Sus scrofa: one gene and its partners. The protein of the gene in region 3 interacts with the protein of the main gene of each other region in a biochemical or structural test. Links are inferred from orthologs where the notes say so. Each region holds a gene or a part of one and is shown on either strand. Other genes may lie near its edges. The genes, in order: MATK, PTPN11 and SIRPA.

Region 1 (2,829 bases), on a different chromosome or scaffold from region 3:
TGAATCGACCCCTGGCCTGGGAACTTCCATACGCCGTAGGTGCAGCCTAAAAATAAATAAATAAATAAAATTTTAAAAACTGGAGTCTTTTTGTGGCACAGCAGGTTACATAACGATCTGGCATTTTTACTGTGGCAGCTTGGTTTGCTGTGGAGGTGTGGGTTCCATCCCTGGCCTGGTGCAATGGGTTAAAGGATCTGTCATTGTCACAGCTCTGGTGTGGGTCGAGGCTGCTGCTCAGATTCAGTCCCTGGCCCAGGAACTTCCATGTGCCTCGGGCACAGCCATAACATTAAAATAACAAAAATTAAATAAACAAAAAAAAACAACTAAAAATGTAAAAACTCATTCTGAGCTTGCAGGCCTTGCAAAAACCCACACAGGACTGATTTGGACCCTGAAGCTGGAGTTTGCAGACCCCTGGCTTAGGTGATTCACTTTGCTCAGGGGTCTGGAACCTCTAGGGTGAGGGGTTTCCAGGCCTGGGGGCCACAGCAGGGTAGGCCTCTGTGGGGGTTGATGTGAGTGGGTATGTCCCTGTTTCTGCCCTGACCTCTGCCCCCACCCACCCCTTAGCCGTCCTGCAGGGCGAGTACCTGGGACAGAAGGTGGCAGTGAAGAACATCAAGTGCGACGTGACGGCCCAGGCCTTCCTGGACGAGACAGCGGTCATGACGTGAGTCCTGGTGAGGGGAGAGCACTCTAGGTAGGGGGTCCCAACCCACCCTCACCCCACGCCCGCCTGCCCCCAGGAAGATGCAGCACAAGAACCTGGTGCGCCTGCTGGGTGTGATCCTGCACCAGGGCCTCTACATCGTCATGGAGCACGTCAGCAAGGTGGGAGAGGGGCCCAAAGGTCTCCTGGGGTGGGGGGACCCCCGAGCAGCCTGGAACACTGCCCCACCACGCCTGTGCTCCCCTGCAGGGTAACCTGGTGAACTTTCTACGGACGCGGGGCCGGGCCCTTGTGAACACCCCCCAGCTCCTGCAGTTTTCCCTGTGAGTGGGGCTCCCAGGGGATGGGGAAACTAGGACATGGAGCAGGGAGGGGCCTGGCCTTGGGGGTCTGTGGCCCAGGCACTGGAGCCTCCTGCCCCCCACCTCCCCAACAGGCATGTGGCCGAGGGCATGGAATACCTGGAGAGCAAGAAGCTGGTGCACCGTGACCTGGCTGCCCGCAACATCCTTGTGTCCGAGGACCTGGTGGCTAAGGTCAGCGACTTTGGCCTGGCCAAAGCTGAGCGCAAGGGGCTGGACTCCAGCCGGCTGCCGGTCAAGTGGACGGCACCCGAAGCCCTCAAACATGGGGTGAGCCCCCGCCTTAGCCCCCAGGGACCTTGGAACCTAGCTCCACTCTATGACCGTGGGCCTGTCTCTTGGCCTCTCTGAACCTCCATGGGAAATGGCTCTGCCTCCCCAATAAGCCCTTGGCCCATAATTGTTCCTTTTAGTTCCTTCCTGGGCCTCGGACTCCTCATTTCTGAAACAGTCCTGGGCTCAGTACTGAGAGCAAGGATAACCTTGTTCTTGCACCGAGTCTGAATTGGGGAATTCATGGGAGAAGACAAGAGAGTGAAGTTCAACCCAGGAGGACATCCTGGAGGAAGCAGGGGGTGGAGCAGAAGCCCTGAGCAGTCCCTCCTCACTCTGATCACCCAACAGAAGTTCTCCAGCAAGTCAGATGTTTGGAGTTTTGGGGTGCTGCTGTGGGAGGTCTTCTCATACGGCCGGGCTCCATACCCCAAGATGGTGAGCAGGGTCCAGGGGGAGGGACTGGGTCCCAGGCAGGTCTAGGGGTCGTGATCCTGACCCCCAGCCCACACCGGCATGCTCTCTGCCTACAGTCGCTGAAGGAGGTGTCAGAGGCCGTGGAGAAGGGGTACCGCATGGAGCCCCCCGAGGGCTGCCCGGGCCCCATCCACGCCCTCATGGGCAGCTGCTGGGAGGCAGAGCCTGCTCGTCGGCCACCCTTCCGCAAACTGGCCGAGAAGCTGGCCCGGGAGCTGCGCAGCGCAGGCCCCTCAGCCCCCAGTGGAGGGCAGGATGCAGATGGTCCCACCTTGACACGCAGCCAGGAGCCCTGACCCTGCCCACGGGGCCTCGGCCCCCGGAGGACTGAAAGTGCAGGGCACAGGGTGGGACGTGGGCCAGGCCTGGAGAGGGGCAAGGCCGGCCAGCTGCCTGCCTCGGTGGTGTCACAGGGGCAGGGCTGGGTGGGGGCTCTGGGCCACCTGTGGGCACCCCAGCCACAGGGAGGTGAAGGACTGGCACCTAGATAAAGACTGGTTCCAAGGACTGGGTGTCTGCCTCTCTCTCTGCTCCCCCTGTGTCCACACTGGGGGCCCCCTGTCACTCAGCCAGGGGGCCACCTGCCTGCCCACTTGTCTGTCCACTGAGGGGTTCACCCAGCTAGGACCTTGCAGCCCCCGGGGGCAAAGATTTCCCTGGGGATGGAGCCAGGAGACCCCCAGGCCAGGGATCACAGCCACCCGTGGACCCATTTGCTAATGGGTCCCCACTAATGGGTTCCCCACCTCGTTTGGTGGTGAGGACCCCACTATAGTCCTCAGCATCTCAGGAACAGACAACAGTGGGCCAGTGCCAGAGGCCACAGAGGTCTAATCTCCTGTCCCAGCATCCTCTTCTGCTCCCAGCCCTTGCCCCTCAGAGATGGCATGTGGGAGCCCAGGGAGGGCCTGCCACTGTGGTGATGTCCCTTCCTGGGGAGGCTCTACTGCCACCACCTGTGTTCTCCACCTGTCACGACCCAACATCCTGACCCAGTGACTCTGAAGGACACCGAAAAAAGCCAGCAGCACAGCCTGTCTC
Region 2 (3,651 bases), on a different chromosome or scaffold from region 3:
TGGTTTGCGATGTACCAGTAGTACCTCCACGGTCCCTGGTACATAAAAGGTACCCAACAAATGGACGTCAATCAATAAGTGAAGGAATGCCTGAATGTTTGCCAACAGAAGTAACTGCACCACACTGGATTAGCAGTTACAAAGTCTCTAAAGTACGACAATATACTTACTTGTCCGACCTTTGAAAGTTTAAGTTCTCTTAATGTATAGTCATGAGCGGCACTTTCTTTGACGTTCCTAACGCGCATGACCCCGTATTCTTTTAGCGCATACTCATCAGGCCAGTATTTGACACATTTACTCTGGAAGGGATCAGAGAAAAGACAGTTAATCTCTGTGAACTCTGGTATGAAAGCCTAAAGCAGCAGAGAACCACCAATGTTTGAGTCTTAACGACCGCTAACTTGGAAGAGAGCCTATCTGGTATCTAACTGTTGGATTTTCAAAGAAAAGGAAAGAAGAGTTCAAATAAGAAAAGTCGGTGCATGGTGAACCAAGGAGAAGTGGGAAGAGAAAGCCACCACTGCAGAGCTGTCTGCCCTAAGCCACAAGTCAGAGGAGAGCCGGTGCTCATTTATTTCTCTCCCAAAGAACCTGAGGCAGAGAGAGGGGAACTACCCCATGCAAGGGTGCTTGTCTAGCAACCACTGAGCTCTGAATTCCGGAATCTGCCAGTCACTCTGCAGGGAAGGCGAGCAGGGACTCTGGAGGTGGATGGGCTGCCCAGTGAGCCAGACTGTCTGGTTCCTTTCCGCACCAGTGTGGGAGGCCTCCGTGCCTTATCTAACCTAAGTGTGAATAACTCCAGCACAGAAAGGCAGCTGATATGGGGTCTGAACCAGCTGCTTTTTCTATATCCAGATCCATTTGATACCTGCTACACATGCCACCTTCACATAACTGGGTGCCTGGGAACGCCAAGCCCGCAATAGCTGCTGGCTTCAGAGCAGGCAGATTGGAAAACATGGCACCAAGAGAATCATGCTTGCTGCCAAAAAGGAAGAGATTTCGCTCACTGAGAGATGAGTCTGCATGTATTTGGTGATGTATCCTGGGCAGAGAACGCTTTTGTGTCTTGTTTTTTCCTGGGAGCGGTCACCCACACCACTCACTTTCCACAACCACCAAGACACAAACATCAGCAAGAGAAAGCTACCTTGTACATCGGGAAAACAGAGAAATTCACTGTTATTACACAAGAAATAAGACAGCAGCTACAGACATTCCCCACGATGATGAAGTGGGGAAAAAAATGGTAGAAGGAAAGTTCGACAGAAGAATTAATGGATGGTGCTAGTTTTTTGCTTGGCACAGTTTATGCGGTCTTTTATTTATTATTCTGAATTTGTCTTTCCCTCTAGTATGCTGCAGATCCAAATACCTCTTTGACAGATTTGATTCAATTTTTATTATCCCAAATAAACACTTACTATTAAGTGTATCAATGCGGTTAGTGGTCAATCCATTCTGAGGACTGCTGGTCGCTCAAGAGAACACAAATTAAACCACAACTCCTAACACCGTAGCTGACACTACACTTCTGCAAAGTACTGTGCTCCCCTCCCAGCTTCCCAAACTCTTGATATAAACCTTGGCAAACAAATTCTAAACTGCAAGCCCTAATACTTTAGCTTTAAATTAAAGCCCAGGAATCAAAGGCAGTCCAGAGTCTGGTTTTCCTTCTGTGCACCGGGGGAATACCAAGGGAGGAGATTATCAGAAGGTCTGCATGAAAATTTCACTGGAGAAGACAAACAGCAGATTATACCCTGCAGAAGAAAAGATTAACTGAAAGATGTATAGCAAAAGAAACTTATCCAAAACAAAACACAGAGGGGAACCAGGTCTCAATGAGCAATAGGACAACTTTAAAGAGCCTAATATACGTGTAATTGGTATCCAGAAAAAGTGGGTTGAGGGTACATATTTGAAGACATAGTAAACATTACTCACATTTGAAGAAAATTGTAAGTCCACAGACCCAAGAAGTTCCATGACTTCCAAGCAGAAGAAATATAAAGAAAACTATACCAAAGTATGTCATAACCAAATTTCTCCTGATCCCTTTTTTCCAGAGGGTAAGAGAAAGTGAAATGTGTTTATTCAGTTCTTAACATGATCAACCTGACATGTCCAATACTTTAAAAAAGCAGAGTATGTAGTATACCTTTCCTCTCTCCACTTCTTTTGTTGTCATGACAATTACTCGGGAGTTCTCCTGAAATACCATCCTCCAAAAGTCATTCACCGTGTTTTGCAGGCAGCCTTGGGTGGCAATGTAACTCTTTTTGGGCTTTGAGTTGTTGCACTTGGTTTCAAATTCAGGCTAGAAATTTAGGAAGAAAATCCTTCAAACATCTGAAAGCTGCTTTTAGGAAGGAAGGATTTATAATACAAAAATCGGCTAGCAAGGTAAAGTCAGAAACACTGTGAAAAGCCAAGTTTACCATGATGATATTTGCATTGATGTAATCTGAAACAGGCTCATTGGGATCACCATCATGTAAGACGACTCTGGTATGATCAACTGGAAGAAAACGAGAGCATAGTCACAAAAGTACCCAGACCTCTCAGGGCAGGTCAGTTCAAATCAGTTCAACCTCAACTTCGTCCAAGTTGTGTTCATTTAATGATTAAACAGCATCAAAAACTAAACTCTAAGTGAATATGACAATAATCTGAACATGAGGCCTCATAATGTTTTCTTTAAGGAGACTAAAGTAGTAATGTCAATTCCCTGGTGTTGATAATGCACTATGGATAGATAAGACATTTTCACTGGGAGAAGCTGGGTAAAGGGTACAAGGGAAACCCCCTACATATCTTTGTAACTTCGTGTGTGAATCTAAAAATCATTTCAAAACAAAAAGGATTTTAAAAAAAAAAAAGAAGAGTAAAGTACAGATAAATAACAATGATATCTGAGATATGCTTCAATATAATTCAGGGAGAGAAGCAAAGTGTAACAGAATATAGATGAATCAAGACTGGGCATGAGTTGACAATTGTTGGAGCTGGGTGATGGGTACCCGTGGGTTCTTTATACTACTCTACTTTTGAATATATTTTAAACTTTCCATAATAAAAAGTTCTTTTAATGAAGTAGCATTAAATACAGTATCTAAATGACAAGATTCTGATGACAATTATTTACTGACTAAATTCTGTACAAAAGTACATGCGCCAACGTCTGCAGAGCAAGGACACAAGCCTGGAACCCCTGAGGATCGTGGTGAGACCCTGGGAGATGGCAAGCCTTGGGGAATCAAAATCTCCAAAAGTGGAATTCCCATCACAGCACAGTGGAAACAAATCTGACTAATATCCTTCAGGACATAGGTTTGATCCCTGGCCTCGCTCAGTGGGTTAAGGATCTGGCATTGCTGTGACTGTGGCATAGGCCAGCGGCTATAGCTCTAATTTGACCCCTAGCCTGGGAACCTACATATGCCATGGGTACAGCCCTGAAAAAAAAAAAAATCTCCAAAAGTGACTGATATTGAGAAATACATTGATACTTACAGGGCAGGATGTTTTTATATCTATTTTTGTTTTTATTTTCTTGCCTCTGACCCTCTTTTCGGCTATAGAGAAGCTTGCACTCCTGTTGTTGTAGTGTCTAGAGAGAAACAAAAGTAGATATCGTCATGC
Region 3 (3,651 bases):
GCTGTGACAGCCAGAGTGGGTCCACCCATCCTGTCTCCCAGTGCTGGGCCTATCCTGTGAAAACCAGCCATCTGTGGCAGCAAAGGGCACCCTGGCAGGCCCCAAGGCTTCTTCAGAGCCGTTCCCTTGAAGGAAGCACAAAGGAAGGAACTGGCCTCTATTCTAATCCATTCAGAGTCTGCTATACACAAGCGTACAGGTGATGGAACATTCCACAGTGGCACCAAATGCCAACGAGGTGCTGCCATCTTAAAGGAAGAAGAGAGAGACGCTGACAGCAGGTGGAAGAGGGCTGACACCTTTTGTTCTCCCAGGAGAGTGGCAGCATCCCCACGGTCTTAAACGGGCATGTACTGGGGCCTAGAAAAGCTCTTTGGTAAATCGTCCCACGGACATACCTGCGCATGTAACAGAATATATCCAAGGCACGCAGCCCTGATTGTACCCGAGGTAAGCGCAGATGGTGTGAAGCCCCTGCGCCCCTTCCCAGGGGGCGGCCTTGTGACGGCAGCCGGGAGACTGAGCCAAGGCAAGAAAGAGCAGGCAGGAGGGACGTGGCGGACAGGGGGTGGTGAGCACAGTGGCTGTTAGTAGGTGAACACGAGAGGCAGGACGCTCTGAACCGGATGATCTCCCTCCTCTCCCTACTTTCTTTCTTGAAGGATATTTACGCCAAAAGATCTATCAGGAAGGTACCAGATTCTCTTACCAGTCGTGACTCCTGGAGAATGGGATTTGGGAGAGGGGAACGCACTTCAAACTTCTATTTAATATCTACCGACTTTCTAGATTGTTCTCGAATAAGCATGAATCATTATTTTAGCATTTAAAAAAAGAAAAAAAAAAAAGAGCCCGGTCAGTTGGAGTGGTGGCCTCACCAAGGACTGCATCTGCACCCTGCTCCTTCTGGTGAGTGACAACCTCCAGGGTATAGTTTTTGGTGACCGCCGGCTGCCCATCATGCTCCACCTGACAGGTGAGCAGCACAGCCTCCCTGTGGGCAGATGAGTTCACCAGGAGCCAGCTGGTCCGGTTGAAGGTCCCATCCTTGTTCTCCATGAGGGTCGAGGCCGTTTCTGTCCGGGACACGTTTCTGTTCTCCAGCCAGGTCAGCTGTAGGCGCTGGGGGTAGAACTTCTTCACCAGGCAGGTGACATTCACCTGGCTCCCCGTCGGGGGCTGTTGGGTAACCTCCAGGGTGGGCGGAACTGAAACAGCACAGGCAGAAGCTCTGACCTTGTGGAACAGACAGGTCATGGGGAAGGGGCTGGATCCCAGCTCCCAGCACAGCAGGGAGTCACCCAGGACCGAGCCAGGCAGGCACGGGTGCTCTCACACCGAGGGGCTCTGGGCCTATGAATGAAAGCACTGAGCACAGTGCAGGGCACACAGTAGGTGCTCCTGGACCCGTCATTGGGGTATAAGGAGGGAAATCAACAAGCACAGCCCCTGGCATGCGGTGGGAATATCATAACTGGCGCAAAACCCATGAAATCACCAAGCACACGGGGGCCTGGCTTAGAGCAGGTGCTCCGTCGTTGGAGATGCTCTGGGTCGAGTCAGGGAACCTCTGAGCACAGGGCCTGGACATGACTGGTGTCCACCTTGCGGCTGCCTTTAAGGCAGCAGTGAGTGGCCAGCACAGCCAGGAGCCTGGTGGTTGGGCAGGACTGTCAGGAAGCAGATTCGAGGCAGTTCAAGGCAGGGGGAGGGGCAGGCTGGGGGTTGGGGCAGGTGTGGCCGTGGGCTGATGTGAGGGTATCTACCTCGGATGGTCTCAGACAAGTTGGCAGTTCCACGGAGAGGAGGGCCCCCTTGCAGGGTGACGTGGGCCACCTCGCAGATGACCTGGGAGTGCACATCCCCCGGGGCCAGCAGCACCTCGGTGGTGCTGGAGATGCTGTAGGAAACGTTTCCCTCGGGCTCCACGCTGGTCTGGGAGGCTGGGAGCTCATTGCCATTTTTGAACCATTTCAGGGAGATGTTTCTGGGGGAGAAGCCGTGGGATTTGCAGGTGAAGCGCACTGTCTGCTCAGGTGTGGCCCTCGCCGCAGGGCCTGAGACCACGGGCCGAGAGGGCTTGGCTACAAAAGGAGCATTTTTAAACAATCAACATGAGCGTGACTTCCATCACTAAGGATAAGCGTCAGGCACTTAAGAACCTTCGCACATATTATGTTTAATCCCCCTGATAATGCTGGGCTGGCAGGTCACCATCCTCAACTTTCAAAGGGACACAGGTTGCCAGAGGTGAGCTCTGGGTAGGGCCCACATGGAAACCTGAGCCCAAGTTCAAAGTCCTTCTCTTCTCTGCCAGGGGATGTCCCAGCAATCTGGGCACAGGGACAAGAGTAAAGATTGATGGTTTCACTCTTCCCATTAACTGTTCTTAGCCGGCCTCCCCTGGAAAACTTAACTAACTTCAGAGATGTGTTTACAGAAGTAAATGCAGGGGAAGCAGGGGCATAGTGGGACTGCCACGGAAGCTGAACCAGGCTGGACGAGAAGTGTGGCCGTGGCACCTCCCAGCTCCTTGTCTGTGACATGGGACAGCGGACATCCTCCTTCCCAGGGTGCCAGCGAGGGTTGAAGCGGGCAGTGGAAGCATTTTTGCTCTGAGGAAACCACAAGATGCTAAACAAAACTGAACCAACACGGATCTCTCTTTGACCTGAACTGTATTTATATCCAGAGCTGTCCCTTCAGGTATTAAAAATGTACTCCACAGGTTCCATTCTTCCCAGATATTCCCGTAAGACTTATCTGCCAATCTCTGCCTTGGAAAAGGAAGGAGCAAGCCAATGCCGAGAAACCAAAGATGGTTAATTTCTTAATTGTTACTGAATCAGAAGAGACAGACACAGGCCTACAGAGCACCCGAAGCACAGAGACCCGCACATCCAAAGCGAGGGCTTCTCCCTGGAGAAGGGCCCTAGGGTGTCTCCAAACTGTTCATTATTACCCAACACTTCCTGTAAAAGTCGGCAGATGGCAAATATGATAAATATTTGCACTGGTAAATATTTAACTTGCTTCCTAAGACTCATCAAACGTTTTGAGGACCTAGTAAAGAAGTGTTACTTGAATAAGTCATAAAAACACCAGCATCCTGGATGTCGCTCAAGGGACGAGATGCTGTGATCGGTTACCTTTTATGCGAGCCCGAGGCTGGCCAATGCCTCCAAGACTTCCAACTCTCTGGTTCTCCCACCAGCCCCGTGAGGGAGGCCCCAGTGTGGTCCTATCTATGGGACGAGGCTCGGGGGGACGCGGCTCGGGGAGACGCAGCGGACCAAGGGCACCCGGGGAGAAAAGGTCAGAGTTCATCTCATTGCACAAAGGACTGATGATTTTAAGGTCTCTGTTCTTTATCCTTGAGCCTCAGTGTCTGCTCCTGGACAAAGTGGATACAGACACCACCCTGGTAAGATGAGTGAAGATGTATGGAAAACACAGAGCCTGGCACATAGTAGGTGCTTCATCAGTAACACCTGTGATTTTTTTTTTTTTTTTTGGTCTTTTTAGGGCCTCACTTGCAGCATATGGAAGTTCCCAGGCTAGGGGTCGGATTGGAGCTGCAGGTGTGGGCCTACGCCACAGCAACAGCCATGCAGGATCGGAGCCTCATCTGCCCCCTACACCACAGCTCAT

What was found.
Region 1: the proteins of SIRPA (region 3) and MATK form a complex in vitro, tested with the Homo sapiens proteins (3 studies listed by BioGRID, with this or other methods). The link is inferred for Sus scrofa from reciprocal best matches to the Homo sapiens genes SIRPA and MATK.
Region 2: the proteins of SIRPA (region 3) and PTPN11 form a complex in vitro, tested with the Homo sapiens proteins (2 studies listed by BioGRID). The link is inferred for Sus scrofa from reciprocal best matches to the Homo sapiens genes SIRPA and PTPN11.

The regions. Positions count from the first base shown.
Region 1 is NC_010444.4:74,916,674-74,919,502, forward strand, and holds the end of MATK (megakaryocyte-associated tyrosine-protein kinase), read left to right. Parts: intron 1-576; coding exon 577-676; intron 677-752; coding exon 753-837; intron 838-925; coding exon 926-999; intron 1,000-1,112; coding exon 1,113-1,308; intron 1,309-1,662; coding exon 1,663-1,749; intron 1,750-1,844; coding exon 1,845-2,084; 3' UTR 2,085-2,300; downstream 2,301-2,829.
Region 2 is NC_010456.5:39,229,470-39,233,120, forward strand, and holds part of PTPN11 (tyrosine-protein phosphatase non-receptor type 11), read right to left. Parts: intron 3,620-3,651; coding exon 3,523-3,619; intron 2,528-3,522; coding exon 2,448-2,527; intron 2,327-2,447; coding exon 2,168-2,326; intron 303-2,167; coding exon 171-302; intron 1-170. UniProt on the Homo sapiens protein: Acts downstream of various receptor and cytoplasmic protein tyrosine kinases to participate in the signal transduction from the cell surface to the nucleus. Positively regulates MAPK signal transduction pathway. Dephosphorylates GAB1, ARHGAP35 and EGFR.
Region 3 is NC_010459.5:33,583,009-33,586,659, forward strand, and holds part of SIRPA (tyrosine-protein phosphatase non-receptor type substrate 1 precursor), read right to left. Parts: intron 2,085-3,651; coding exon 1,767-2,084; intron 1,209-1,766; coding exon 879-1,208; intron 1-878. UniProt on the Homo sapiens protein: Immunoglobulin-like cell surface receptor for CD47. Acts as docking protein and induces translocation of PTPN6, PTPN11 and other binding partners from the cytosol to the plasma membrane.